Linked DNA regions of Oryctolagus cuniculus. The protein of the gene in region 1 interacts with the protein of each later gene in a biochemical or structural test. Links are inferred from orthologs where the notes say so. Each region holds a gene or a part of one and is shown in the gene's direction. Other genes may lie near its edges. The genes, in order: PRKACA and CREB1.

Region 1 (15,664 bases):
CCCTCCCTCCCCCAGCTGTCCGGGGCTTGCAGGCGTTGTGTAATTTCAAAGAAGCTAAAATAAGTCCGCGGTCTCCTGCCAAGCTGCCCTGTACCAGCGTGACCTTGCCCCTGGTACACTTGGCCCTCCTGCAACAGGCAGTGGTCACCAGGAGCTTCCTGTGACGGATGGGCAGGGCCTCCTTCGCTCGTGTGCCTTTAAGGGGGGGGCGAGGGGACTGGGGGCAGCGCCCCCTCCCAGCCCTGGCTGCGATGCCAAGTGTGCGTGCTGAGCCCCCGGCCTGTGCGAGCTGGGGACCGCCCGGCTCCCCCCTCGCGCTGCCTGGCTCTCTCCCGGGTGGATCAGAATCTGCTGCCCCGCGCCAGTTGTCGAGGGAATCTCCTCCCGTTCCCTGGCACGGGGCCGTGTGTGTGAAAGAGGATGCTGCTCTGAGCCCAGCACCCAGTGGGCAGGGCCCCGAGATGACCCAAGCGCCTGCCGCTCCTTCCCTGGCCCTGCCGGGGCACGTGGTTCTTAATTCAGCCTCTGCCATGCAGGTCAGTGCCACACCGGCTCCCAGTGGCCCACGGTGTCTCCCGCAGTCCAAAGGCAAGGTTGCTGGGCAGAACTAGGCCTGCAGGGGCCACGTCCCCAGCACTAGGGCCTGTGCACTGCCTGTCCCCTGTGGCCCGGGTGCACCCGATCGCAGACTCTTCCGGCGTGTGGCAGCCGTGTCCAAATCCTCATGACAAGGCTCCTTCCGGTGCCTGGCGGCCAACGGCCCCAATTCGTTAACCTGCTGGCCCCCCGCCCCCCGTGTCCTTGCAGACCTGGAGTGGAAGATCATTTACGTGGGCTCAGCCGAGAGCGAGGAGTTCGATCAGATCTTAGACTCGGTGCTGGTGGGCCCCGTGCCTGCAGGGAGGCACATGTTTGTCTTCCAGGTAAGAAATAAGACACCTGAGCCCCTGACTCCCCGGCGCAGCCTCCCGGACCCCCAAAACCCAAGGCCGGCCCGGCCGGCAGAAGTTCAGGTTCCAATCCTTGCTCGGCCCTCAGGAGTTGTCCGCCTGCGGCTCGGAGGCCTTCGGCCCCCGTCCCCCCCAACCCCCAATTTTTGGAGACGCACGTGCAGTTTGTTCACAGCACAGGTTCCCCTTGAGCTCGTGGGGAGCTCCCTTGCACACTCCCTACACACGCGCGCCCTCGGGGAGCCCCACGTGGCTGCAGACCGGCGGGTTCACACTCGCTCGCTGGTCTCAGAGCCCCGGAGCCAGCGGCAGCTGCAGGAGTCGGGCCGTCCCATACGTGTTTGCTCCTGAAGGCCTCTGGTGCCCTCGGGCAATTGAAAACAGTGAACTGACCCTCGGACACAGAGCATGGAGCTCGCGGCCTGGGTGGACACGAGTGCCTGGGGCTGGGAGGCAGCGGCCAGGGCTCAGGGGCTTGCGTGCCGCCACCCACCTGGGAGACCCGGATGGAGCTGCCAACCAGCAGATGGGACCTCTCTCTGTCCCTCAACAGCTTTTTCTTAATTTTCATTCGTTTATTTCTTTATTTATTTTTGCTCTTTTACAAATTGTAGATTTCTAGACTTGGCAGGTGGGTCAGAACGCCAGAGCTTGAGCTTCTCGACTCGCTCCCCTCCAGCCCTGCCGTCACGGCACATCTGGGCCTCTCACCCACCCACAGCAGCAGATCCACCCGCGAGCCCAGTCTGTCTACACTGAGATGGCCGGGGCCGGGGCCAGGTACTCTGCGCTCGTCAGCGCCTGATGCTCGGTGGTGTTTGATCAAGGGGGCCTCACGCCACTCCCGGCATTCTGGCTCTGGCCGGCTCTCCCAGGATGACTTCCGGTGCCTCCTGCCTGAGCCCTTCCCGGCCCAGTGGCCGGCAGAGAAGGCGGAAGCCCAGGACGTGTCTCCCCTCCCCCACCCAGGCCGATGCCCCCAACCCATCCCTCATCCCAGAGAGCGATGCCGTGGGCGTGACCGTGGTCCTCATCACCTGCACCTACCACAGACAGGAGTTCATCCGCGTGGGCTACTACGTCAACAACGAGTATCCCAGCCCCGAGCTGCGGGAGAACCCGCCCCTGAAGCCAGACTTCTCCCAGGTATGGCTGCCTCTCTGCCTCCTGCAGCGGGTGGGGCAGGGCGGGGCGGGCCCTGCCCCGTGGGCCTGTAGCACGGTCACCGTGGCAAGATTTCCCCAGCACGGCTCGGTTCTGGCGGTGCCGGCCTGGTACAGGAAAGGCGCGGTGAGCCGGCCCCAGGGCGAGGGCTGGCCGCAGCAGTTAAGACCCCACTCGAGAGCCCTGCATCAAATGTCGCAGACGCCACCTCCATGGGAGCCCCAGGTTGAGCTCCTGACTCCCCAGGCCCAGGCTATCGTGGACTTTTGGGGAGGGAACCCGCGGACGGGAGCGCTGTGGCTCTCGCACGTCCTTGGTGGCCATCGCACAAGCGGGGGTGACCAGGACGAGGGATGACGGTGCCTCTTCCCGCCGCAGCTCCAGCGGAACATCCTCACTTCCAACCCCCGAGTCACCCGCTTCCACATCAACTGGGACAGCCACACGGACAGACTGGAGGCCGCGGAGAGCCAGGACCCTGCCCTGGGCTGCGGCCTCCCCTTCAGCTGCACCCCTGTGAAGGGCATGGGGCTCCCGGGCTGCATCCCTGCCCTGCTTCCCGAGAACTCCATGGACTGCATCTAAGTGGGGGAGCCCGGCGCTGGCCGGCCCCACCTGGGACCCGGCACCGGCACCGGCACCGTGGATCACCTCGCTCTGCAGGCCCCGAGCGGCAGCAGGGACTCCCGCCTGCACGTGCCTGCTCGCGCCGTGCCTGCCCAAGGCCGTCACCCCGGCCTCCTGCTGTCCCTTGTCCCCTTTCTGTTGTCTCCTGGGTGCTGCCAGGCGGGAGATGGCGGGGTGTGGGGGCGCCCAGCCACATGAGGGCCCTTCCGCCCCGGGCTGCCTGCACCTGGCTCTCACGGGCCACAGGGACTTGGGGCCAAAGGAGCACTGGAGACCCCAGAGAGCGCCCCTCCCCCCTCTGCTGCTGTGCCTGCTGCCGTGTGTATTTAAGGGGGTTTATATTAAAGATGTTCGCTGGTTTGCAAATAAAAAGCACTTGGTGGAGACTTCACCCCCTGCTCTTGTCCTCGCTGGCCCTGTGTCCCTGCGGGGCTGCAGGTGGGGCCCCACCTGATGCCAGGAGAGGGAGAGGTGTCAGGGCGCCAGTCAGCCCCCCAAGCTGGTCCGCTGGGAGAACTCAGTATGATCCCGGCGCACACACAGAAACACTCAGAAGCTGTCCTCAGCCTTACTGGATGACCCCACAGCCAGAGGGGGTGGCTCGAGCGGCCGGCCACGTCCCCAGGGTTCGCAGGAGAGCGGGGACCTCGCCACGCGGAGCAGCAGGTGGGCGCGCAGCCCTTCCCGGCCGGGGTCTTCCTCTGTCCACCTTCGTCCAGGACAGTCTAGCCACTCTGATGCTGGTGTGGATGGCCACGGCTAGCAGCAGGAAGCAGAGCAGCTGGGGGCTTCCGGGGAGGGGGACTGCGGAACACACCCTCCGGCCCAGCCCCAGATGTCAGATGCTGGGGCGGGGGCGCCGCCCCTCGGTCCTCAGGCCGCTCCTGGCAGACAGGTGCCCGCTCCCCGCACAGACAGGACAGTCAGCGCCGGTGCCCCCAGACTCCGCGTCCGTACCAGGGGCGTGATCGCGGGACCTACGAGGTGAGGGGCGCGCTGCGAAGCAGTGTCTGTGCCAGCTCCTCACCGCGGGTGCCAGCCCACGGCCGGGCCCACGGCCGGGACCCAGTAAAGGCGCAGCAACCCCCTGCTCCCGGGCCCAGCATCCGCGGGAAACCCAAGCAGAGCCCCGGTCCCGACCCCTGCCGCCCCAAACGCCAGGCCTTATGAATGACGACTCGGCGACCTCTGACCCCGCGGCGCTGGCCGCGCCCCTCCCCCCGCTGGCAGGTGGACAGCGGCTGCGCCGGGCGGGCCGTGGCGTCCACCTCGGCTGGCCGGCGGCCGCTGCCGCACTGGGCGGGGGCGGGGGACTGCGGCGCGCGCGGGGCCGGGCGGGCGCCGGCCGGGGCCGCCTCCAGGGCCTCGGAGCGCGGCGCGGCCGCCCGCCAGCCTCCGCCGCCCCGCCCGGCCCGGGCCGGCCGCAGACTGCGCCTCCGCCCCGCCCTCTCACCCCGGGATTGACACTGAACGTTCTGCGAAGGGTCTGCCGAACAGGGCGCCTCGACCAATCGGCGGCCTCGTGGGGCCGGCCCCAGGCGCCTCGGCCAATCGGGCGCGTCCTCCCGCCCAGCTGCGGCCTTGCGAGCGCGTGAGTGGCGGGCCGATGGCCGCGCGCGTCACGGGGCCAGGAGCCTATGGTGGTGCGGAAAGGTTTCTCGGGGCCAATGAGCGGCGGCGCGGCGCCGTCAGTCATGGCGGCTTAGGCCAATGAGCGGCAGGCTGCGGGGGCGTCACGGACAGCAGCAGCGGACTTGGGCTGAGGTTCCCGGGCGGGCGGGCGCGGAGAGACGCGGGAAGCAGGGGCTGGGCGGGGGTCGCGGCGCCGCAGCAAGCGCAGCCAGCCCGAGGGGCCGCCGCCGCCGCCGCCCAGCGCGCTCCGGGGCCCCTGGTCGCCGCCAGCACCCGCAGCACCGCAGCTCCGGGACCGGCCCGGGCCGCCGCAGCCGCCGCCGCGATGGGCAACGCCGCCGCCGCCAAGAAGGGCAGCGAGCAAGAGAGTGGTGAGTGCCCAGGCCGTGACCCCGATCTCGGCCCCGCGCTGCCAGCCCCCCGGGCTGTCCATCACCGCCTGGCCCCTCCCCCCCGCGGCGCCCCCCCATCTCTCTCTGCTTACCCCCAGCACCCCTTGCTGTCTGCTTGTCCAAGGCTGGGGCCCGAGGGCCCGCAGAGGACCCCCCACAACCCACACACACACACACACACACGCATTCACGTAGGGGCCCTTTGGCCAGTGACCGCCCCCCACTGCGAAGATATGCCCCCCCACCCACCCAGCTGTCACTGCCAACCATGGCACGGATGACCGCTGGGGCCCCACATGGGGCCCTGTCACCTCCCCACCCCTTCCTTTCCTGGCCCCAGTCCCCAGATTCGAATCCCCTCCACTTGCTCACTCACCTCTCCCACGTGTGGGACCCAGGCCTCTCCCAGCCTCCCAGTGCTGTCGGGGGTAGGGGGGGCTCTGCCTCCAGCCGCCAGGGACCTTGGCCTCTTGCTGGCCACACCCCTCCCCCCTCCCGCCCCGGCCATCTTTCTCCTGCCCTTAACCCTCTTCACCTTATCACAGCCCCTCCCCAGCCACCACCTGCAACTTCCAAACCCACCCCACCCTGTGTTGTTTTCCCTGTTCAGTGTCCCTAGGCTTGGGGGACACAGGGGTCCCTCTGCGCCTCTCTCATCCTGCCACTGTTCTTGGGACCCCTCCTGCAAGCTGGCTCGCTGGCGACCTGGCTGGGGGAGTGGACTGTCTGCAAGTTTGAGCTGAGATTCCACTGCCGCTCTGTCTTTTCGGTTGTTGGGGTCGGGGGCGGCGCGTGGTAGAGCCCCTCCCCTCTCTTGCTGTGTGTTGAGCCCTGGGCTCCTTGGAAGGCCCCCCCCACCACTGAGGCTCCCCACCTCCCCCAACGAGGGGGGCTCCTTTGCCTGCTTCTGGCTTCCGATAAAAAGCATCCGGGTTCCATGCGGCTGCTTGGTCTCGGTGGCGTGGGTCAGGGACAGGATTTGGACGGGGTGGGCGGCTGTCCGAGAGAGCAGTGGGTGACATCGAGGGATTCGCTTTGCCAAAGGATGGATTCTCATCGTTGCCGGGGCTTTAGCCAGAGAGAGAGAGAAGCCCATTACACACACACACACACCTCGCCCGGGCCCCCAGATTAAGTTGGCCCCTTCCAGTCTGACAGAGAAGGTGCCTCTGTCTGGAAATGCCTTCAGAAGTGGTCTGGAGCCCCCTGCCCAATCCCGCACCCCCAGCTCCCGAATCTGGGGCACTCCAGGCTCAGAGTGGAACCTCAGCCGGGATATCCCACACATAGGCAGAACTACAAATGCGGAGGCCGCGTCCCCAGCCCTGCCCACCCCAGTTCTTGATCTCAAGCCCTGGGCTTCCCAGGGTCCCCTGCAAGTGGCGAACGTAGCCCTGAGAACTTTCTCCCCTCCCTGCTTCAGTTGGCAGAATTAAGTAGCTCCTGGACGTGCCACCGAGGGGCGGGGGACAGGGAGGCCAGCGCCTGTGGCTGAGCGCTTGATGACCCAGGAGCAGGTGGGGTAGTATCCAAAAACAGTTCCGAGCCCACGCTCGGAGGGGACTGGGGCCCGGAGGAGAGGGGCCGGCCCCCAGCAGGTGAGGCGGAAGGTGGAGGCACGCGGCTATATATTGCTGTGGCTCGGTGGAAAGCTCGGGAGATGACATAGCCCTGGAAAACCTTCAAGGCGTAGCTAACACGTGCACTAGGGCCCCAGGGAGAGGGGCGGGGGAAGCTGCACGGGGCCAGGGTTGGGTGGGTGGGTGGGGAGATCCCAAGAAAAAAAGTTCACAGTTCTGGAAGGAACAGGTAATTCCTTCTGAGTGCAGAAATGGATGATCCCAGAGCTGCTGTTTGTAGGGGATCCAGAATGTCCCCCTGCCAAGTAGGTCTCCGTGGACACATCTGTCTGCGCTGGTGATTTCTGTAAGGGGCTCTTATCGGCGCTCTCCAAGTAAGCTGTCTCTGAGTGGGACACAGGCGGAGGCAGGATTCCGATCCAGACCCGTCCCTGGCCGCCGGGAGCTGGGAGCTGAGAGCCTCCCAGCTCGGACATTCTTGAAGCTGCCTCTCGGGCTCCTGCTCTCTCTCGGCCTGTGTTTTCTTAATTAAAGTAATGGAGGTTGAATTCCCCATGTCCGTTCAGGGGGGAGCAGTCCTAGGAATGCAACCCAGCGCTAGGCTGCGCCCCTCTGTCATCGCTGGTCCGCATTAAGATGCAGGGTGGATACAACGTAACTAGCTAAGGGACTGGGAACTCGATCCTTGCTCTGCTGATGGGAAGGTGCCCTCCTGAGGCTGGGAGAGAAGGAGCCAGGCTGGGAAAAGGAAGCCCCTCTCTGCCTCACAGCCCTTGAAAGGATGGAGTCCGAGGGCAATTACCCTCTTAGACCAGGGTGGGCCGGGGGCCAGGGCAGTAGCCAGCCCAGCCTGCAGGGGGCACCTGCATTTCATGTTGCCAGATCCCAGCCTGCGGGGGACTGGCCAAGCATCCTAAAGCCCAGGAGCTGGGGTGGGGTGGAGATGGGAAGATTGGCACCCAAAGGTGGCAAAGCCACCGACAAGGGGCTTAGTGGGGGTTGGCGAGGAGCTAAAAGAGCAAAGGGAAAAAAAATGAAGGCTCATGGCCAGGCTGGAGGAACCGAGAGAGGGCAGTGGCCCCAGGGGGCCCCAGGGGGCAGACAGCCAAGTGGAGCTCAGGTCTGAGCTGGCACTGGCTGGAGACACCCCCACCCCCACCCCGGGGAGCCGGGTCACAGGGACATGGCCCGAGTGGTGGGAGGGAGCCCCCCAGAGGCCCCTTGGTGGGGACACCAAGCCCCAGAGACAAGCCCACCCAGGTGCGTCCTGCAGGTTCCTGGGTGGGATGAACTGGTGTCTTCCGACTTCCTACAGAAGCCCAAGAGGGTCAAACGCCTCTGCCCATTGGCAGTTGTATGGGTGCCCGAGAGGGTCCTGCCAAGACAGCTTTGCTCTTAGCCCAAGGCAGCCAGCAGCAGCTTGGGAGGTCCCAGCCAGCTCTCCCCTGCACCTGCCCTCCTCTCACCGGCCTTCCCGTCCCCATTCCCGCCCCCCAACTCCCCGGCTCCCCCTGCAGGCCGGGCCGTGGGGTGGGCCGCCAGGCTGGGGCGGCGAGGTCTCGTGAGCCTTCCCAGCCACCGTAGCTCGGATGCCCTGTGAGGAAGACTGAGTGATGGCTTCCAACTCCAGTGATGGTGAGGCTGAGCCCTGTTGCTATAGCAACTCCCTGGGCACTCTCTGCCCCTCAAGTCAGGGAGGGGGCTGCAGCAGGGTTTGGGGGCGCAGGAAGGGAGGAGGAGGCTGTGGGGGGCCTGGGGACGAGGAAGACAGATAGGGGGGAGCCGGGGGTGTGCGCCCAGCGATGGGAGGGGAGTGCAGCCCAGTGTGGGGGATCCAGGCCAGGCCAGAGTACTGGCCCCCGCCCAGGCTGGGCAGTTCCACCCCAGGACCGCCAGGTTTCAGAGTGCCTAGAGGGTCTCGGGTTATTGTCCGGGAATGGGGAGTCCAGGGAGCCCCCCCCAGCCCCTTGCCCAGCTGGACACACAACCCTTGCAACCCTACATCCGCAGGATGGAGTTCTAGATTTCGGCCGTGGCTTTGTCAGGGGTCCTCTGGGGTTGTCCCTGGGACCCCAAATCAAAACCCGGCGGGATTGGGACGTCTGGTGCCATGGCCCTCTAGGAGCTAGGTGACAGAGTGGGGGAAGCGGGGGGACTTCCTGTCACCAGCAGGGTGCCCCCACCAACTCCGGGTGTTGGGTGCTCTGGGAGAGGCTGCCGCTGCCCCTCCTTCCGCTTCTCTCCGGGATCTGGGAAGAAGGAGGGAGATGGCCAAGCGGCCTCCCCCTCCCCCGCTCCCCCGGGTTGAGCCGTCCGTTTCCGGTTTGGACTTTTCATGGCCCAGAGCGGAGCCAAGCACACAGGGCAAGGTTTGACAGAGGCCAAGGGCATGCAGGATGTCGATCCCCTCCCCGCCCCCACATGGGAGCGGGACAGGGAGCCACACGCACCCGTTTCTGTCTCAGGGGTGGCAGGATTGGGTGGGGGAGCCCCGGGGTGTCTGGTCTCCCTGGCCCTCCACGCCCTCCCTACCCCCTCCCCGCCCAGCCTTTCCCTCCAGCTGTTCTTCCAGCTAATTAACAGGGCGCTCCTCAGCCCCCTGGGGCCCTCTGGCTGCTGCCTGGGCCTTAACTCCTTCACCTCTGCGCAGTGGGCACTGCCCCAGGCCCCGGGGGGACGGGGAGGGGGCAGCCAGGCACCCAGTGAGGAAGGCAGGGCCTGACAGCCAGAGTCAAGTCCCTGGAAGGGGAAGTTGGCCTTGGCGCCCCGCCCCCGGGCAGAGGGACACCCCCGGGAGTCCGCGCCTCCGCCTCCTGCCAGGGAAAGCCTCTGTGGACCCTGGCAGCCAGGAGCAGGTGCAGGCACCTTTTTAACTGCTTCCGTGGCAACCGGCTCCTCCTCCCTTCCCCCCTACCCCCCGGGGGGCTGGGCGGCTCCTGTGCTGGGTGAGGAGAGAGCCCAGGCCAGCGGGATGCTGGGATGGAGCCGGGGTCCTGCCGGAGCCAGGGTGCGGACTCGGAGACCACTTTCCAGCTGTGGCTCCAGCTGCTCCTCTGGGCCCACCTGGCCGCCCGGCTCCTGAGCTACCTGCGCCACACCTTCCAGCGAGCCTGACCTGAGCCCCCCAGCCCAGACCACCCAACCCCACCCACTCCCCCGGTTCTCCCCTCTGCTGGAAGACACAAGAAGCAGAGGTGAGTGGTGGGGGTGGGGTGGGGGCGGGGTCTGCAGGCTGAGGTCCCCTCCCCCAGTACCGCCCTTAGCTGCCTGCCCCCAGCCCCAGCAGAGGGGACGTGACCTGGGCTCCTCGTGCACCTTGGGAGGCCAGCGGAGGGCTGTGCTAGGGACTCTGCCCCACCCGGGGAGGGGGCTCAGTGGGCGCCAATGAAGAAGGAAACAGGACCAGGCCCCCCGCTGCCTTCCTGTGTGGGTCAGGGCCCCGCCCCTCCCCCCGCCACCCAATCCAGAGTTCTGTGGGAGGAAAGGTGCCTGTGTGGGTGGGTGTGTGTGCACATGTGGGAGCAAACCGTCTCCAGTAGACCCCATGCCCAGAGCGGTCTCTCGGCCAGCTGGTGGCCCAGCCAGGCGCCAGCTTGGGACGGCTGTCCCCTCTGGGCCCAGCTCTGCCAGCAGCCTTGGGGACAGTGGGGGCGTGGTGCCAGTGACGGGCAGGAGCACGGTGGGGCAGGGGGTGGGGGCCGTGTGTGCTCCGCGTGGCTGTTTTCATCGAAGCATCTGGGGCCTGGGGACAGTTCTGTCCTGGTCCACCCCAGTGCACGTGACCAGCGGTGAAGCCGATGGCCGGGACGGCAGTAAAAACGGCTCACGTCATAGCAGTGGGGGAGGGCTTGCAGGCAAATGATCAGTCTTCCGATCTGTACAATGGCTGGGATGGAGCCTGCCGGGCTGGGGCTGACGCTTAGAAAACACCACGTGCAGGGCGGGCTTGGCGCCTGTAGGGTGTTGTTCGGGGGTGCGTGTGTCTTGTCCATGTTCATCCAACTGCCTGGTTAAGCTCTGGACACCTACCGCCGAGTCTGCTGTCTCAACCGAAAAGAATGCTGCAAAAAAATTAATAGGGAACATTTGTGTCCCACGCCAGCCACCGTCCAACCCCCCTTTGCCAAAGTGAGCTCCTGCCATCCACACAGCTTCGCTGCCTGTATGGTTAGGTCGCTGTCATTATCATCCCCATTGTATAGATGAGGAAAACTGAGGCCCCCTCCCCCAACAGAGGCGCGGTCAGTTGTGCCCAGTGCGTCAGAGAGCACGGGCTGGGATTTGAACTCCCGGAATCCTGGCCCTCAGCTGATTGGCTGGGCTGTCTCTTCGCATGGGCCAGAAAAAAAAAAAATGGTTTTGGAGCCTCAGTTTCGGGGCTGGTGAATGGGTAGCACGGCCAAGAGGAAGGTGGTGAGCCAGACTGGTGAGAGCCCACCACCTCCCCCAGCCCCCAGCCCGGGGTCAGCCAGGGAAGTCTCTGTCAACTGGAAGGTGACATTGGCCTTGAGATGCCCTGGGGCCCGTGGAGGGATAGGCCCCAGCCAAGGCTGTCCTCAAACCAGCTCCAGAGCGGACAGGGCCAGCTGGGGGCCAGGGCGACAGCTGAGCCCCCCCAAGGCCGCCTGCTACCCGAGCCCCGGAGGCCTCCGCCCCAGGCCCAGCCTCCCCAGAGAAGGGAACGGCCAGATCCCGACGCTATAAATACCACAGCTGGCGTCGGCCCTGGGCGAGGAATGCCGGGCAGAACTGGGGCGAGTGGGGGTGGGCGGGCCTGGGTGCCCCGGGCCGCGACCCCCACCCCTCGCGAGCCTCCCTGTACCCCACCTTGGCGGGCGCCGAAGCCAGATCCCCCACCCTTGACCAAGACCCCAGCCCGGATCAAGCCGCCCGAGCCAAGCCAGCAGCACCCAGAGGCACCCGGCAAAGGGCGGGCGATGCGTGGAGGCAGCCGCACCCTGCTCCCCGCCAGTGGGCGTGTCCCCGGGCAAGACGTGGGGGGCCGTGGGTCTCCCGTCTGACCCTCCATCCTCTCTCTTCCTTTCAGTCAAAGAGTTCTTAGCCAAAGCCAAAGAAGATTTTCTTAAAAAATGGGAAAATCCTGCTCAGGTAAGCCCACCTCCACCCCTCGCCCCCAAACCCCGCTGTGGGGGGAGGCAGGGACCCAAGCTGCCTCCCCCTCCCCCTCTGCTCCCCCTACTGCCTGGACACCCCCCGGGGGGCTCCCGGGAGGGGGCTGAGGCACCTGACTGTCCACGCCTGGCCTCCCCACGCGGCCCCTGCCCTCCCCACACAGCTGCCACCAGTTCCTGGGCCCCAGGCCAGGGCCGGATCTGGGCCCGGCCGGCCGCCTGGAGGAACTCGCCCTCCATCCTCCGCCCCCCGCCCTGCCCGGGGTGGGTGCCCCTGACCAGCCCGCAACCCCCTGCCGCCCCCAGAATACAGCGCAGTTGGATCAGTTTGAGCGCATCAAGACCCTCGGCACGGGCTCCTTCGGGCGGGTGATGCTTGTCAAGCACAAAGAGACCGGCAACCACTATGCCATGAAGATCCTCGACAAACAGAAGGTGATGCAGCCACGGGCCCCGCCCCGCCCAAATGTTCCAGAAAGTTCTGGAAAGTTCCACGAGGAAACAAAACCACTTGAGTACCACGCTGGGCCCCCAGAGCATGCCGGGAGGGTGATGGGTGTTGGATGCTGCGGCATCCCCAGGACGGGGTGGGCGGGTGCACTGTGCCAATGTGGCACCTTGTACCGAAGGGACACGGGCAGCTGGGCATTTGGGGGCCCACAGGCCAAGCCCATGGGAATATCATGGGGCAACTCGGTACCCTGAGCCCCCAGACCCCAGCGCTGGAAGGGCCCTGAGTGGCCTCCACAAGGCTTCTGCCCACAGGCCACACCCAGATGGGAAACGAAGGCACTCGATGGCCCGTGGGGAGGAACCCGGAGGTCTCCCTGGAGGAAGTGGCGTCTAGGTGGACGTTCTGTCCCCAAATTTGTTATTGAGTGATTTATTTGAGAGGCAGAGAGCAGGGAGGGAGAACTCCTGTACTCTGGTTCGCTACACACACACCCCCATACACCCCCAAACACCCAAAAAAGTCTCGGTGGCCAGGGCCGAAGCTGAGAGCCCAGAGCTCCATGCAGATCTCCGACATCAGGCGGCAGGGACCCAAGGACTTGAGCCAGCGCCGCCGTTCCCTGGGTGCACATTAGCAGTCGGGAGCAGAGCCGGGACTGGAACCCAGGCCCTCCAGCGTGGAATACGGGTGTTCCACCCAGCGGCCCCGCTGCTAGGCCAAATGCTCGCCCGAGGTCAGTGTCTACCAGGAACGGGCCCCAAGCCCCAGAAGGGAGTGCGAATTTCCCAGTAGCCCCATCAGAAACACCAAGAGGAGCCGGTGTCGTGGCGCATAGTGGGTGAAGCCGCCACCGGGTAGGATGCTGGTGTCCCGTGGGAGTGCCGAGTCCCGGCTGCAGTGCCCCTGGGAAGGCAGCGGGAGACGGCCCCAGGGCCTGGACCTGTGCCACCCAAGTTCCTGGCTTCCCCTGGCCCAGCCCTGGCCGCTGTGGTCATTCGGAGACTGAACCGGTGGATGGGAAGATCTCTCTCCCTGTCTCTTGTCTCGTTATATATTGCTCTTTAAAAGAAAGAAAAGAAAAAGAAAAGATAGATTTTTTTGAGAGAGAGGGACCAGCGCTGTAGCATAGTGTAGTGGATACAGCCGCTGCCTGCAGTGCCAGCCTCCCATATGGGCGCTGGTTCAAGTCCCGGCTGCTCCACTTCCCATCCAGCTCTCTGCTGTGGCCTGGGAAAGCAGTGGAAGATGGCCCAAGTCCTTGGGCCCCTGCACCCGTGTGGGAGACCTGGAAGAAGCTCCTGGCTCCTGGCTTCAGCCTGACCCAGCTTCGGCCGTTGTGGCCATTTAGGGAGTGAACCAGCAAATGGGAGACTTTTCTGTCAGTCTGTCTCTTCTGTGTAATTCTGCTTTTCAAATAGAATAAACGTTACCCAAAAAAGTACAAGGAAACAGATGAAGTTCATCTCAATGTGTTTTCCTTAAGCCAGAGGCAGCCTCTTTTTTTCCCTTCAGATTAATTATTTGAAAGGTAGAGTGACAAGAGAATCTTCCATCCACTGGTTCACTCCCCAAATGGCGGCAACACCTGGGGTTGTGCCAGGCCAAAGCCAGGAGCCAGGAGCTCCATCCGGGTCTCCCACGTGGGTGCGGGGGCCCAAGATCTTGGGCCATCTTCTACTGCTTTCCCAGGCCACAGCAGAGAGCTGGATCAGAAGAGGAGCAGCCGGGACTGGAACCGGCACCCATATGGGATGCTGGCACTGCAGGCGGTGGCTTTACCCACTAGGCCACAGCGCCGGGCCCATGTTCCATTCTTTTTTTTTCTCTCTGTACAATTTCAGTGTCTGTTTCCACTTCAGACAGTTTTCCCCGGGAAGAGGAAACACAGTAGAGAAATAGAACAAGCACATTCACATGGCCAAGTTTTTCCAAACACTGAGAGCTTAGCCAGTCCCCACAGCAAGTGTCAGCGTTCAGATCTATCTTTCTTTCTTTCTTTCTTTCTCTCTCTCTCTCTCTCTCTCTCTCTCTCTCTTTCTTTCTTTCTTTCTTTCTTTTTTTAAGATTTAATGGGGCTGCCATTTTGGCACAGCAGGTAAAGCCGCCACCTGTGACACCAGCATCCCATAGGGCCGCTGGTTCAAGTCCCCGCTGCTGCTCTTCCAATCCAGCTCTCTGCTGTGGCCTGGGACAGCAGTGGAGGATGGCCCAAGTGTTTGGGCCCCTGCACCCACGTAGGAGACCTGGAAGAAGCTCCTGGCTCCTGGCTTTGGCCTGGCACAACCCCAGGCGTTGCTGCCATTTGAGGAATGAACCAGCGGATGGAGGTCTTTGTCTTTCCCTGTCTCTATAGCTCTGCCTGTTAAATAAATGGATTTTTGAAAAAGAAATTTTATTTGAAAGCTAGAGTGTCAGAGATAGGGAGATCGCTCATTCCCCAAATGGCTGCAATGGCCCGGGCTGGGCCAGGCCAATCGCCAGGAGCCAGGAACCCCCATCTGGGTCTCCCACATGGGTGCAGGGGCCCAAGCCCTTGGCCCATCTTCCACTGCTTTCCCAGGCGCATTAGCAGAGAGCTGGATCGGAAGTGGAGCAGCCAGGACTCGAACCGATGCCCATATGGGATGCTGGCCCCAATACTGACAATTTTAAATTCGGTTCGCCAGCCCACTGGCCACACATCCAGGGCCCTCACAGTGCAGGCCTCAAGGGTCCAGCTGCCTGAGTCGAGGCAGGAAACACCCCGGCTGGGTGCTTCACAGCTAACCGGGGACCTAGGCCACCTGTGTGGGGCGCACTGGCCTGGCGCTAGCCGGCTGTGTGACCTTGGGCACGTCCCCTCCCCTCTGTGCCTGCACTTCCAGACCGGCGTGCTCCCAGCATGCCCCTCTCAGGGCTCCTGTCACCACTGAACCAGAGAGCCCGGGTGAGGCTCCGGCTCTGGCTCCTGGCCCGCGCTGTGCGGGGAGAGCCTGAGGCCTGGGCACTGTGTGTCGCTGGGCTAGATAAGGGGAAGGCAGCGTCTCCTCCTTTCTCTCTTTTTAAATCTTTGCTTGAAAAGCAGAGAAAGAGCTCCTGTGCCCACCATGGCCCCGCCTTCGGGCTGGAAGCCAGGAGCTGGGAGCCAGGAGCTCCATCCAGGTCTCCCACGTGGGCGGCAGGGGCCCAAGCACGTGGGCCATCTTCCACGGCTTTCCCAGGGAGCTGGATCAGAAATGGAGCACCTGGGACTTGAACCGGTGCCCCAACTTGGGATGCAGCCCTCCAGGGGCGGCCGCTTAGCTCACTGTGCCACAGGGCCTGCCTCTGCTTGCCTTTTATTTTTCTTTGCAGCTCAGCTGCCCCTTCCTCCAGGAAGCCACCTCTGATTGCGCCTCTCCCCACACTACACCACGGTGCCTTATTTGGGTTTGCACCAGCCCCAAGCCTCCCCCTGTCCCAGCATTGACCTCTCTGGGCTGAGAGTCCTGGTGTCTCATCTTGCTGTGTGTGTGTTGAGCCAGGACAGGCTTGTGAGCCCAGCCCAGGGACCCTCAGCTGCAGGGGTCTGGGGGACCCGTGGCAGGGATGGGGTGGCCCTCCCACCGGCTCCCTGACCCTGACCCTGACCCTGACCTTGACCCCGCTCCCGGCCCGCAGGTGGTGAAGCTGAAACAGATCGAGCACACCCTGAACGAAAAACGCATTCTGCAAGCAGTTAACTTCCCGTTCCTCGTCAAACTCGAGTTCTCCT
Region 2 (15,222 bases), on another chromosome or scaffold:
TTTTCTCTGTACTTGATTGCTACCGTTGGAAGAGACAATTTTTCTGCCACACCTTCTCTCCCTGTTAGAAGGGGAGATTCATGGAAGAGAGGAATCCATTCTTATTTTTTCCAGATGCGGCAATATCCTATTGGGAATTACCAGCCAAGGGAAAAGAAAGGTTTTATTCGTTTTTTAAAGGGACTACAACTCTTGCAGCTCAGTCATTTTGGACAAGTTTGACAGTAATTTAGCTACAATATATTTTAACTAGATTTCTAAGTGCATTCGCCAACGTAACTACCATATATACGTATTTGTAACCTGAAGTTTGCCTTTAAAGTCACAAAAGCACAAAGCACTGTAGTGCTCGTAACACTCTTCCGTATTATTGTAGGTAACTAAATGACCATGGAATCTGGAGCAGAGAACCAGCAGAGTGGAGATGCAGCTGTAACAGAAGCTGAAAACCAACAAATGACAGTTCAAGCCCAGCCACAGATTGCCACATTAGCCCAGGTATAAAATACATAGAGAGATTCCAAGTCGTCTCTTCCAAGAGAATTTAGTTCTTATTACAGAGATATACATAGAATGAGCAGAGGTGTTCTTAGAATATCAAAATTCTTATTTACTTAGCATTAGTCTATGTTTAGAAATACTAGTATTAATTCAGTAACATAACAGTAAAATGTGGTGTTAAACACTAATACAGTATTTATAGTTCCATGATCCTGAAAGAATGACATCTTTAATTAATGGCTAAGTTAATTGGCTCTCATAAATAAGGAAATAAAACCTTGGCTATGACAACTGCTTTTTTTTGTAATATCATATAGATTTATTTTGGGGCACAGAGATAAAGATAATATGAAAGCTTATATTCTTAAACTGAAAAAATAGGATAAGCAAATACATTGATATATAATAAATCTTAATGATGATAATTTTTGTGTCCTGTATATTTTAAATCTAATTCCTGATTCTTTCATTTTGTCTTTGGCCTTAACACCCTGTTTTAATAACATACACTCTCTCTTTTTTGTTCATATATTTTTCCTCAAATATTAACTATTTTCATATATTTCAGTGAGAAAGGTGATAGTATAAAAATGAAATAGCAAACTTCAACCTTTTAGGTAAAAGTATGATATTGCCTCTTTTAGTTGAAGGCTCCCAGGAGAAGATAATCCTAGCAGAAGCTCTGTGTCTAACTTCCATTTCCACAAGCATTTAAAGACTCCCAAGAGAGTTACTAATCAATAATGAAACTTGGTAACAGAGGGCTCAACAAAGAAAATACACTACCAGCAGGCATCTTGGTGGTGACAGTCCAGATATACCTGTCTTGGATCATGCTGGTCTGTCTGGTCTGGCTGTCTGTGTAGTGTCAGCCTGGGAACTCCTTTTACCCTGCTGTCTCTCTGGTGGAGTTAGTGTTCTTGATATATTCAAAGCGTATTTTTCAGTCGTTTCTTAAAGGTTTGACTATGAAAAGAATTCTTGTTAAAAAAAATATTTTTTTAATTTTTAAAGAAGTCCAGTGACGACGATTTTTTGTTCTTATTTGAAAAGCTAAATTAATTTTTCATTTTGTATCTTTAGTTATCTTACAAAATCTGTTCAAGGTACTTCAAAATTTTATTATGGGTTTTAGTTTGCAAACATTTTGGTCCATGTGGGCCGTTTTATAGTGGAAACTCATGTCTTCAATTTTGGACAATTTCTGTCAATTATTTGATTAAAATTTTCCCTCTCTTCTTTCTCATTTCTCCCTAGAATTTTTGTCATCCAGATACTATATTTCTAGGACTGTTTCTCTTAATTTTCTTTCCTTTTTTCTCCTGTTTTCCATCTTGTTACTCTGCTTTCTGAGAGATTTCCTCAATGCATTCCAATGTTGAATACTTAATTTCTGATGTTCTATTTCCAGGAGTCTCTTGTTCTCTGAATAATTCTTTTATGTTTCATTAGCATAATGTTTCATTAGCATCACAAAGGCAATATTTTCTATCTCTGAGAATATTATTTTGTTTCATTTTAAGTTTTCTTTTCCCCACATAGATTTTCCCACCCTTTGTTTTGGTCTCCATCTTTCATATTAGATGCTTTCCTCAAATGTTTCATCATTTGTGGCTGTTTTGCTCAGGTCAGGTTCAAGAGTATGGGACCAGAAAGCTGTATGGAAGCTCTGTGGGTGTTGAAGAGTTAGCAGTATGAGCTTTGCTGTAGGGTGATTGTGGTGATCCTGATGTCAGTATCCTTTAGGTTTTTACTATTGGTGTCGGTTACCCCCAGAGAAGGTGTCAGAAATTTTGTGCTTATAGGATACAGGCTTGGGAGCCAAGTAAAAGAAGGGGGCTGGGATTTCTGCTATTGTTAATCAATTGGAGACCGCTGTCCAGATAATAAATTTCTGGTTTTTTCTTTCATGGCTGGGTATTATTCTCCTTGGGGAGGGCATCCAGTTGCTTCTCAGAGAGCCTTCAACAAGCCATCTTTATTGTCGGCCTCTCTTTGCTTGAAGTGCTATAGATTGTGAACTTCTTGAGGATTTTGTGGTACAAATCAGGCTTTCTCTGCCTCCATCCCAGCTCATAAATTGGCCTTCTGAGGTCTTCCCAGTTCATTACCATTCATCTGTCCTCCTCCAAAACTATTACTTTATCTCCTTCCCATTCTGTGTTTGTGTTTTTATGTCTATAAAAGTGAAATCAATTTCAGGAAGTTAACTGGCAATTCAGGTGGGAGAAAAATTCTGTGTACACAAGTTCAGTTTATCATCTTTATCAGGCAGCCCTTTAGCACCAACACTTAAAAATGGAGTGACAGTATCAGATTTGAGTTTTAGGGAAGCTAGTGTCTGTTTCCATTTATATGTTTTTAATTCCTTTTATTCCCAGTTAATGGGTTTTTTTTTTTTTCATTTGCTCATCAAAGTTCCTTAACACATACATCTATTTTTGACATAATTACCTTTTATAATTCTTACTACTTTTTTGTACTTGGAAAGTAGAATGAAGTTGTCAGATAACCCTAAGATCATTGTGCTTCGATAAAAAGCAAATTCAGCCTAAATGGTAAAGGAAGAGGGTCAATCTAAAACAGTAATGAGAGATACCTTATTTTAGCTTTGGAATTTAAGGAAAGTTTTTAAAATTGAAAAATTTTGGATTTGACTACAGGAATATAAGTTTTTACAGTTTTAAGCAAAAAGTTGGGTTAAAGAATGTTTGTTGTAGTGTTCTTGTAACAGGCAAATTTAGAAACCTAAATATCCAATGATAAGGAATTTATGAAATATGTAATTTTGCCTATTATGTAGCCATTAAAATATTAAAGAAGACTGTTTATAGTATGGAAAGATATAATGGAATTGAGAAATAAAATAGATTTAATGATAATGTGTTGTAAAAATTGATTGTGTGTAAGTGTCTTAAAAAACAAAACACCTACAAGAGCCAGAGCAAAAACATTAACGTGATTAACTCTGGATGGTAGGAATACAATGGATTTTTATTTTATTTTTGGGTAAATGTATGTTATAAACTTACACCAAGAAGAACCTTTATGTTGAATGATCAGCCTAGAAAAGGGATTATTTACCTAGTTAGCCTATTATTTTTACCTTAGAGAAGACTCAGAAAAGAGGACATAATAATTGCTTCAAATATTAGAAAAGCTTTTTTATATATACTCATATTTTCCTCCCTCACCCTTTCCTTGAATAACTTTAAGGTTGTGGTTCTCAAATTTTAGTCTCAAGGAAAGTATCCTTGGGTCCTTCTTATCATCTAATATTACAAACAAGGCACCCCATGTGACTCTAATACAGGTAGTCCATGGATCACATTTTGAGAACCAGCTTAAAACTAAGCAAGACTTAAAGTAGCTGAAAAAAAAGTAATTAATGAGGACATCCTAATTGTCCAAAGATGAAAACTCCATGGTTCAACAACTTATGTGCCAAAGACTGTATCTACAGTAGGGATCTTCCTCCAAGATTCAGAGTCACATGTTTTAAGTTCCTGCTAACCATCTGCATACCCAGATGTCAGGTCAGTTTCATCATCTTCTACCACAACTCCAGCCACCCAAAATCTTGTCCTTACATTCTCTGTTTCAGTTGATGACACAGTCTACCAATTTTCTTAGAAACATAAAACATATGAGTCATCTTTGATTGCTCTTTCATCTCCATTCATAAAACCCCTCTTGATCTGCCTGCAAATTTTCATAAAATTACTTCTGCTTCTCTTATTCCCTTCCCTGCTACAATGCCGAGGACTGTTACTACCACCACCACCACCTTATTTCTGGTTCCTATCAACTCACCCTAACGACTGCTTAGCCTTCCAACCTCTAGTTATTTCACTCTGCCACTAAAGTGATCTAAAATGCAAACATAATGAGAGGAATTCAAAAGCCCTTCAGTGACTTTCTGAATAACCCCAAAATGCAGATTCCTTAATGTGATTTACAGGGTTGTTTTCGTTTGTTTGTTTACAACTAGTTCATCCAGCCTCTTCCTGCCTCTTGTTTTCTCTCTCCCTCCTTCCTACATTAAATAGTAACCATACTTAAGTGCTCCAGTAGTACTGAATTGCTGGTTATTCTTCTCTGTCATGTATAGCTCCTGCTGTTTCTCTTTGCTTTGGTTAGTGTTACCTTCTCTACCTGAAGTTCTGACTCTCTCCTAGAAGTCATAATAATATGTCTGACTTGTGTTCTTTGTTTCAAATTCACATTCTTGCCTAGTAGCCTCCTGTCCTTAGTTTGGGTAGCTCTCTTCAATGTGTCTATGTTCCTCTTGTAAACCTCATTATTTCACTTGATTGTGTTTACTTCTGTTTCTCCCATTCTTTCACACACAACCCCTAATCATTTCCTTGAGATCAAGGACCCATATCTTATCCTTTTTTTATAGTTTGAGATTGAACATTGTTCCTGACATGTAGATCCCCAGTAACTGTATACTGAATGAACAGGTAAAATTCCTCGCCCGAATGTGTTCAATCATAGGAACAATAAATACCATCTAATAGATACTTAAGACTTAAGGGTCACTTCAGATTGGATATTGACTCATTAAATTGCCTTCCTTGTGCCTCAGGAGAAAATTATTTTTTCTTATATGAATATTCTTTCAACTTTGCCCCTTTATTCAAGACAAAAACAAATTCTTGAACTATCAACTATTACCAGTTCAGTAATAGTTGATTTTGAGGAGGAGAGGAATAGAGATTTACAGTTTATAAAACTTGTTACTATGTTCTCACTAATGAAAGCTATGCCATATTGTAAGATGTATATTTGTTCTGGACTTACTTTACATTAATTTGTCCAAGCTTGAAAACAATTAGAATTTAGAACATAGCTATTTAACACATATACCACAGACTGTTTCTTCAAGGCTAGTGTATCTGCTTGACTTTGGGTACATTACTTAATCTCTTTGAGCAGTTATTTTTTGTCTTTAAAATGGGGATAATCCTTATTACCCAGTCTTCAATTTCTTTGATGAACAACAAGAGAAATGGGGATATTAAAGCAGTTGGGAAAATCTAAAGCACTATACAAATAAACCGGTGCTTAGTATTAAGAGGAAATCTGTGTTACATGTTTTGACATTACATTATATTACATTACATTACATTACAATAACTTTTTTGTCATTTGGGAGGAGTTGAAAAGTAGAATGGGAGACTTACAGGTTTTGTTTTTAAACAATGATAAATTGCATGTTTAGTTTATTTCCTATCAGTATTTTTGCCTCTAAAATGTTACTTCATATTGAACATGAGTAGTCCCAAGGAGGTATCTGTGATAGTAATTTTTTTCCATGTTCAACATTATAGGTATCTATGCCAGCAGCTCATGCAACATCATCTGCTCCCACTGTAACATTAGTACAACTGCCCAATGGGCAGACAGTTCAAGTCCATGGAGTTATTCAGGCGGCCCAGCCATCAGTTATTCAGTCTCCACAAGTCCAAACAGTTCAGGTATGTGTATAAAAAGTTCTGTATCCACTTTTGTGTCTATTATTCATAGGCATATCCCTCTCCTTTCATTACTTTTGAAAATAAGGACACATCTAGTTTGGAGTTAATTTTACTTCATATGGTAAACAAATGGGCTGCGTCTGTATAGTCACCTTGTGTAAAGGAATGGATATGTATAAAACAGACATGAAAGAAAATTAAGTCATAGAAGGAGAATAATTGGCAAAAAAAGTACATGAGATGAAGTGGAAGATTTGGGAGACTGTATAAGGCTGATTGCCTCAGGGAAAATTGAAATACAGAAGTAATAACTTGTAATTATTTTCTGAACCTGCAGTTGGAGAAAAATAAACCTTGATCAAAATTTAATAACCTTACCTGAGATTTTTGAACTTGAAGGGATCACATAAGCATTCATAAAATGGGCTGTGTTTAGGGTTTACCATGAGAGCATATAATTTTGAAATAATGTGTTCAGAAAGTTTATCTTAAGGGTCAGGGATTATACTATGAATGTCTTATTCTTTGAGGATATTGTTCCTTTGGGTTGGATTCCAAAGATTAGTAAAGGCACTGTAGACCACTGAAGGTGACTGCACTACTTAACTGTAGGGAACCAAGAAGCGGTGTAGATCTTGCGATTGAGCTTATTGAAAGAAAGACTTGAACATTCATTCAAGTAGGCCATAACCCCAGCCTCCCATTTCATATTTTTTACTTCACAGTCTTCCTGTAAGGACTTAAAAAGACTTTTCTCCGGAACACAGGTGAGTCCTAGGTCGTAGATTTGAAGAGAACTATTATTAGAAAGGAAGGTGAGAAATTATTATTTTTGTTTTTTTCCTCCTCTATAAATAATGGAATTTGAAGGTTTTGTTTAATGGTAGACATTTCTAGGTCTAGACCAAACTTGTTGCCTACCTGACCCTTAGAAATAAAAATTTCTGTATATAATATTTTTCCTGTCTTCCAAACGATAGCCCAACTTTACTTGAATACTCTCAGAGAAAGGAAGTTCTATATCCTGAGTAACCTACCTATAATTAAGGATGAAATTGCCAAAATACTCTTTTCAGTCGTGAAAGAATATAGCTTTATACAACTTGCCTAGTGCTTGCAGTTTTATCCTTGCGTTGAACTGAATGGCAAATCTTAATTCTTTTTCTGTTGACTGATTTCCTCAGTCACATCTCTCAGAAACTATATTTTTAAGAAATTGCCAGGGGTGGTCATCTGGCACAACAGGTAAAGCTGCCCCTTGGGACACTTGCATCCATTTTGGAGTGCCTGGTATCAAGTCCTGGCTGCTCCACTTCCAGTCCAGCATCCTGCTAAAGCACACTGTGAGAGACAGCTTGAGTACTTGAGTCCCTGCCTCCCATGAGAGACCCAGATGGAAATTGCAAGCTTCTGGCTTCAGCCTGTCCCAAGGCTGGCTATTGCAGGCATTTGCTGAACCAGCAAATAGATCTCTCTGTCTCTCCTTCTCTGTCTCCCTCGTTCTTGCTCTCTCTTTACTTTCAATAAACTTTTTTTAAAAAGAAAACTTCAACTTAACAAACTCATATTTTTCTTCAGCCATTTATTACATGGTGTAGTTTTGATTTCTCTTCAGCATCCTGGTTGTTTTCTTCTGGATGAGAGCAGTTTTGTTTTCTGTGCATATGGTAGCCAGAACTGATTAATATTCATAGAGGGGCAGGAGTGCCTACTTTGTCCTGGAAGCATCCTGTTAATATCATCAAAAACATACTAGGTTTTGGCCGGCGCCGCGGCTCACTAGGCTAATCCTCCGCCTAGCGGCGCCGGCACACCGGGTTCTAGTCCCAGTTAGGGCGCCGGATTCTGTCCCGGTTGCCCCTCTTCCAGGCCAGCTCTCTGCTGTGGCCAGGGAGTGCAGTGGAGGATGGTCCAAGTGCTTGGGCCCTGCACCCCATGGGAGACCAGGAAAAAGCTCCTGGCTCCTGGCTCCTGCCATCGGCTCAGCGCGGTGCGCCAGCCGCAGCGCGCTGGCCGCGGTGGCCATTGGAGGGTGAACCAACGGCAAAAGGAAGACCTTTCTCTCTGTCTCTCTCTCACTGTCCACTCTGCCTGTCAAAAAAAAAAAAAAAATACTAGGTTTTGTCAATCATTTTATACTATTGAATCATTGAGCAGCTGTTACCACCTATATTTCATTCTGTTCTTATGCTTTTGGTTTGCTTAAGTGGGAAAAAGAAATAATGTTTTCATGTGAAATCTTGAATCATGTATGAATTTCCATAAGATATTGGGGTTGGAATTTTTTAACAAGTAGGATACAGTGTTGACCAAGTGAAGAACTATGAAGTTGATATTTCTGTGGAATCACAGTGACTGAGCAGTATTTCTTTTTCTCAGTTTTTATTTCATTGAATGCTACCTTATCTAATTCTCCATATTGTGCTATGCTAATTCCCCACCCATATCCTCCTATAGATAATAATGGAAAGAATTAGGCTTACTAGTCAGGCAACCTACACGCCAGACCCAGTCTAAGATTGTAATTTTTGGTTATATTATGTGATATTTAACTGTTGATTGTATTCTTTATTTTAATCTTTATAGGGGCAGCCTAATGTGGACCTAGGGATTATATAATCATTAACTTTCTAGAAATATGGATTCATCTTTACAACAATACATATTTCCATTAAAGTGAACTATTTAATTTAAAGTGTGTGTGCTTGCAAAAGAAAAGTTGGGCTTCTTAAAGCCTGGATTTTACAGATATACTATTTTTTTAAGATTTATTTATTTGAAAGGCAGAATGACAGAGGGAGAGGCAGAGACTAAGAGAGAAGGAGAGATCTTCTATCCACTGGGTCATTCCTGAAATGGCTGCAACCAAGGCAAATGCCCAGAATTCTGTCCTGTTCTCTTGCATGGTTGGCAAGGGCCCATGGGCCATGATCTGCTGCTTTCTTAAGCACAGGAGCAGGGAGCTACTTTGGAGACAAGAGTAACCAGGATTTGGACAAGTGCTCCTGTATAGGATGTTGGTATCTCAAGCAATGGCTCAACCTTCTGCAACACAGTGACAGCCCCTCTTTTTATTCTTTAAAGCTTCTAAACCAAGGAGAATTTATTAAACTTCTGTGTTCATTATAACTGATTGAAAGTGATTACTGTTAACTAGGAAGTAGTTTATATCAGGGATGGTCACTCAAACTTCTAGATGAGAGAATGTTAGTTTTCCAGAACAAAGTTTCCAAAAATATGCAAGGTACATTTCTCTTGATAAGAGAATAAGATATTAGGACTTCTGTTATATATTTTAATTTAAAAATATTAGATTTAGCTATATTGAGATTTCATATACATTATGTATGTAAGTACATGTATGTGAATCAAATCTCACATAATTTGTGAGCATCCTCACAGAAATAGTGTGAATTGTATGATGTAATGAAATTCACAGTGGCTTCTTCCCTTTTCATTCATTAGTTTTGGCCACATTTCCATATAGTGCAGTTTAAATGTGCTGGACAGAGGATTTATGGATTTTATTACATCCATTCTTTCAACAGATGTTGGTGATCGTATGCTAAGTGCCAGTCACTGTTCTAGTAGTTGTGAAAGACAGTAACGAACAGGTAATACCGTTCATTCTAATGAAGATCATGTTTGAGTGAAAAAAGAAACTCTGGAAAGATATATGAGTCGAAGATAAGTGTTAGAAGAATAAAGCAGGGAAAAGAAATAGAGAATGTTATGGAGGGAAGGGCGTGTTTTATGGAAGGTGATCAGAGATGAGCAAAGACCAGAGGACAGTGAAGTAGCCTAAATCATGCAGATAATAATAAAAAAATCAAGGGTTTGGAAGTGAATATGCTTGGGATGTCAAGGAATAGCAAGAAGACTATGCTGGACTAGAGTAAGAAAGGAAGAGAGTCATTGCAAGTACTATTTTTGATAGAATTTTACAATATTTTATTATAGGAGCAACAGTAAAAATCTTGTGCAACATTAGAGGTTCAGTGATTATCACATAGCAAGTTTTTAAGAATTGTCTAACAAAAAGATGAGTTATTTGAGTTTTCTTAAGACAAGTGTTCAAAAATTTTCCTTTTACTAATGGCAAGCAAGGACTCACAAGGGATATTTTACCTAACAGGTACTTTTGAAAAAAGAAAACCATTTGAACAGCCCTTTCTTGGGGGTGGGGGGGGGGGACATTTTACCATGACTGACAGAATAACTGCTTTGTGAAAGAAACTTGTGCTCTGAAGAGATCCTTTTTTTTTTTTTCAATCATAAACAGTGTAAATTTGTTTTCTCTAAAAACTCAATTCAGGAGCTGGCATTTAGCCCAGCCATTAAGATGCCCACATCCTGCATGTGAGTCCTCGGTTCTATTCTTGGCTCCATTTCCTGACTCCATCCTTCTGCCATTGTAGACCCAAGGCAGTGGTGTGCCTTGACTAATTGGATTTCTGCCACCCACATCAGAGACCTGCATTGTGTTCCTGGTTTCTTGCCTCAGCCTCACTGTATGGGCATTTGAGGAGTAAAACAGCAGATGGGCACTTTCTATTTCTCTGCCTCTCAAATAGATAATAAAATGTAAAAGCCCTCAAGTCTACTGACTTTCAAGACCCTAGAAACAGGATTCTAAACTGCTCAGAAGTCTTCCAGAGTTTTAGTAAAATGTTAAGTTTGTTTGTTAAAAATGTTAAATTTGGCCGGCGCCGCGGCTCACTAGGCTAATCCTCCGCCTTGCGGCGCCGGCACACCGGGTTCTAGTCCCGGTCGGGGCGCCGGATTCTGTCCCGGTTGCCCCTCTTCCAGGCCAGCCCTCTGCTGTGGCCAGGGAGTGCAGTGGAGGATGGCCCAGGTGCTTGGGCCCTGCACCCCATGGGAGACCAGGAAAAGCACCTGGCTCCTGGCTCCTGCCATCGGATCAGCGCGGTGCGCCGGCCGCAGCGCGCCGGCCGCGGCGGCCATTGGAGGGTGAACCAACGGCAATGGAAGACCTTTCTCTCTGTCTCTCTCTCTCACTGTCCACTCTGCCTGTCAAAAATAAAAAAAAAAAAAAAAAGTTAAATTTAACACCTTCCTATTAGAATGCAGTTAATGATGTGGAGTCAAGGAGATGAAAATATACTAGAGAGAGCTAGTCAGAAGTGGTAAATTAAAATGAAAAATTGTTATTTTGCTTGGTAAGCACAGCCTAATGCATTTACCTTTGCTATCTACATATCATGAGTTATGAGTTCCTTTTTTTTTGAAACAAACAGATGTTAAGATTACATTTTGGGCTGGCACCGAGGCTCAATAGGCTAATCCTCTGCCTGCGGTGCTGGCACCCCAGGTTCTAGTCCCAGTCGGAGCGCCAGATTCTGTCCTGGCTGCCCCTCTGCTGTGGCCCGGGAGTGCTGTGGAGGATGGCCCAAATCCTTGGACCCTGCACCCGCATGGGAGACCAGGAGAAGCGCCTGGCTCCTGGCTGCGGATCAGCGCGGTGCACTAGCCACAGCGCGCCGGCCGCAGTGGCCACTGGGGGGTGAACCAGTGGAAAAGGAAGACCTTTCTCTCTGTCTCTCTCACTGTTCACTCTTCCTGTCAAAAAAAAAAAAAAAAAGATAACATTTTAATTTAGAATCATATTTCTAAATCACTGTTATATAAAGTATTAAATGACTTAATAAAGTATATTAAGTCACAGTCTATTAGAAAATTTAATCTATGCAGCTTAGAAATTTTTAATATTTATACTTATCTTAAGAATTCTTTTATAATATAAGTAACACACTTCTTAATGTTTGCAAATAAGATGTGTATACTTAGGTAAGTTTTTCTTATTTATAAGGAGAGATCTGCAGATCAAAAGAGTTTAAAGGATCACTGTTTTAGACTTTCACTAAGCTTCTTGATCCAGTGAGTAAAAAACTGAACCTAAACCATGGCTCCCCTCTACCCAGAAAGTACTTAAGTTTCTAGGGAACCTTGTACAGTTCTAGAAAACATGTAATAGGGTCTGGCACTGTGACACAGTGGGTTAAAGCCCTGGCCTGCAGTGCTGGCATCCCATATGGGTACTGATTTGAGTCCTGGCTGCTCCACTTCCAATCCAGCTCCCTGCTAATGCACCTGGGAAAACAGTGGAGGATGGCCCAAGTCTTTGGGCTCTTGCACCCACATAGGACACCTAGAAGAAGCTCCTGGCTTCAGATGGCCATTGGGGCCATTTGGGGAGTGAACCAGCAGATAGAAGACCTCTGTCTCTGTCTTCTCGACCTCTCTCTCTGTAACTTTGCTTTCAAATAAATAAAAATAAATCTTAAGAAAAAGAAATCACCTATTATTACTGTTACTTTGATTTAGTTCTAATCACTATGTAGTTTATTTTGAAATTCCAAATAATTAAAACCGAGTTTTTTTCCCCCATATATCAGAAGATGTGGGTTTTAAACAAACCAAAGTTGAGAAATACAGATAGAAAACTTTAGAAGTTGTAACTTTGGCTTCTTGAAAGCTTTTATGACTTACTTATAAATGTCTGAAACTAAAGACCTATGTAAAGAACTTAAGAACTTAGAGAAGATGAGGAAGAAAGGGTTCTGTCGTTGGAATGTGATGGTAATCTGTGATAGTTATAATTGGGATGTAAACTCTTGATAATTCTTCACAAAATTTTGTATTTATTTTATCTTTGAGAGGCAGAAGAGATCAAGCTCCTCCCATCAGCTGGTTCACTCCCCAAATGCCCTCAATGACAAGGACCAGGAATTCAGTCCAGGTCTCCCACATGGGTGTTAGACACCCAGTTATTTGATCTGTTATCACGGCCTCTCAGGCCTCACAGCACTGGCCCCATAGTTTGTGGTCATAGTTCATGGTTTTCAGAGACTGTGTTGGATTGGCTAGTTAAAGCAGCTATTGCTTAACAGGAAAATTTTCTGTCTGCTCCTTTGACCATAACTACATTGTTACTCTGCCAAGAATCCTGCATGAAATTCAGCCTTGCCCACCATTTGATCTGTTATTGTTAGATTCATTAAATATTGCCTGTTGGTTTTTAGATTTATAAGACTGTTTATACTTAAATTTGGATGGGGCACATTACTTTAGATATATTTTATGAACCATTACTGGATTTTTGTTTTAAAATGAGCATGCATATCATAAAGCCCTATCAGTGCCCACTCTTCTAGAACCTTTAGGTTCATACCACGTAAAGAACACCTTTGGGATTTCTCAGCTACTTGTAAATATGATTTTTCTTACTGCTATTTCCATACATTTCATGTGTAGCTAACACAGAGAGATCTTTTTGCCTTGATTAGATCTAAGTCTCTGACAGCATCGTGTGTACCTACATCAGGAAAGAGCATGAGGCTCCTGCTGATTAGACTAGAGGAACCTGGCAGAATAAATTTGACAGGCAAGCATACTTAGGTTAGTAATTTCTTGGTCCAGAAATGGTCTTAAAATGCCATCTGGTTCCTGCTTCTGTCAAAACTGGTATTTGAGACTGGAACTACCAGGATTTTGAAGCTGATAAGGATGTGTAAAATGGAAATGCTAAATATTGTTCATGGCTCTATTACTTCTTAGCTTTGTGGTTTGTAACAGTTACTTAATCCCCTGGTGCCTTACTTAGTTTTTCTATATATAAAATGGATATAATAGGAATGCCCATCTGGCCCCTATGTTACTGTAAGTATTAATGAGTGTTAAATATATGTAAGTGCTTTAGCATGTAACACCTGGCACATAGTAAGTTAGTGATGAATTCTAGTTTCTAGTATTAACATTCCATGCAAAATCTTTATTCACCTCATTATTTTTCAGCCTGGGAGCACCTCTTAGGAATGCAGAGTTCTTTACCCTCAATTTTTTCTTAAAAGTAATTGTAGAATGCCAGCTTTGAAATACCTATATATGTAACAGATGACTGTTTCCTAACTTGATAAAATAACTATCTGGAATGTATTGAAGGATTACTGATCTTATTTGGACAAATGTTAATACATTCATAAGTTTTTACATGGTAGTTAAAGGAAAATATTGGTGTGCCCACTATTCCCACATGTCAGAAGTAATACTGATGCATTTAGGATTTATTACGTGGAGTCATTCATTTAAGCTGCAAATGTTTAATTTATCTGACTTCCTCTTAAATAGTCTATAGTGTATTTAACAAGAGGGAGAAAAAATTGGTGTGACTATAAACACATGCAAAAACTGATTTTTTTCCCCCTCTACTTAGTTGTGTTAAGGTTTATGTATGTACTTTTGTATATGACTTTTTCTTAAAATTCATTAAATTTTATTGGAATTAAATTTGATTATCAAGATAAAGTTCTTCTTTATTTTCAGATTTCAACTATTGCAGAAAGTGAAGATTCACAGGAGTCAGTGGATAGTGTAACTGATTCCCAAAAACGAAGGGAAATTCTTTCAAGGAGGCCTTCCTACAGGTACAGAATTTAACAGAATCAAAGATATGCAGGAAACCCTAGGTGACTGGATGAAAAGATGTCAGATGACCATTTAGCTGTTCTAGCCTCTACCATATAAATTACTTTTCTTAATCTTGAGTTAATTCACTCAAATAAGTTAAAGTTTATCATGCACATTTTAAGGGCACTTGTTACTCTCAACATTGTTAGATAAAATTTTTTCTGGGGCTGGCGCTGTGGCTCACTTGGTTAATCCTCCGCCTGCGGCGCCGGCATCCCATATGGGCTCCAGGTTCTAGTCCTGGTTGCTCCTCTTCTAGTCCAGCTCTCTGCTGTGGCCCGGGAAGGCAGTGGAGGATGGCCCAAGTGCTTTGGCCCCTGCACCCGCATGGGAGACCAGGAGGAAGCACCTGGCTCCTGGCTTCGGATCGGCGTAGCTCCTTTCTCTCTCTCTCTCTCTCTCTCTCTCTCTCTCTCTCTCTCTCACTGTCTTAACTCTATCTGTAAAATTTTTTTAAAAAATTATAATAAATAAATAAAAATTTTTTCTGCCTTTTATAAACTCTGCTGCTTACTACTTTTATATAACAAAGTTTGGAATGCTTAAATTTTAGTATTTTGTAGTTATATGTCAGTTCTGAGGCCATGCTATTTATCTGTTTAGCTGTCATCACAAACTGTTTTTTTTATGTGATGGCATTTAGCAGATTATTACTTGTTAATTTAATAGTTGTCTTAAGATGATACTTTGCTAACATCCCCTAACATTAGAGGCACTTTAATATAGCCTTTGTATTCAGCTATACATGTTA

Evidence for each region.
Region 2: the proteins of PRKACA (region 1) and CREB1 form a complex in vitro, tested with the Homo sapiens proteins (2 studies listed by BioGRID, with this or other methods). The link is inferred for Oryctolagus cuniculus from reciprocal best matches to the Homo sapiens genes PRKACA and CREB1.

Annotation. Positions count from the first base shown.
Region 1 is NC_091447.1:62,976,559-62,992,222, reverse strand, and holds the start of PRKACA (cAMP-dependent protein kinase catalytic subunit alpha), read left to right. Parts: upstream 1-7,817; 5' UTR 7,818-7,958; coding exon 7,959-7,980; intron 7,981-11,392; coding exon 11,393-11,454; intron 11,455-11,783; coding exon 11,784-11,912; intron 11,913-15,570; coding exon 15,571-15,664. Other genes in the region: histone chaperone ASF1B, read left to right, coding at 808-923, 1,920-2,096, 2,493-2,699.
Region 2 is NC_091434.1:32,227,423-32,242,644, reverse strand, and holds part of CREB1 (cyclic AMP-responsive element-binding protein 1), read left to right. Parts: intron 1-376; 5' UTR 377-384; coding exon 385-498; intron 499-5,837; coding exon 5,838-5,984; intron 5,985-6,709; coding exon 6,710-6,751; intron 6,752-9,532; exon of another isoform or gene 9,533-9,598; intron 9,599-14,327; coding exon 14,328-14,428; intron 14,429-15,222.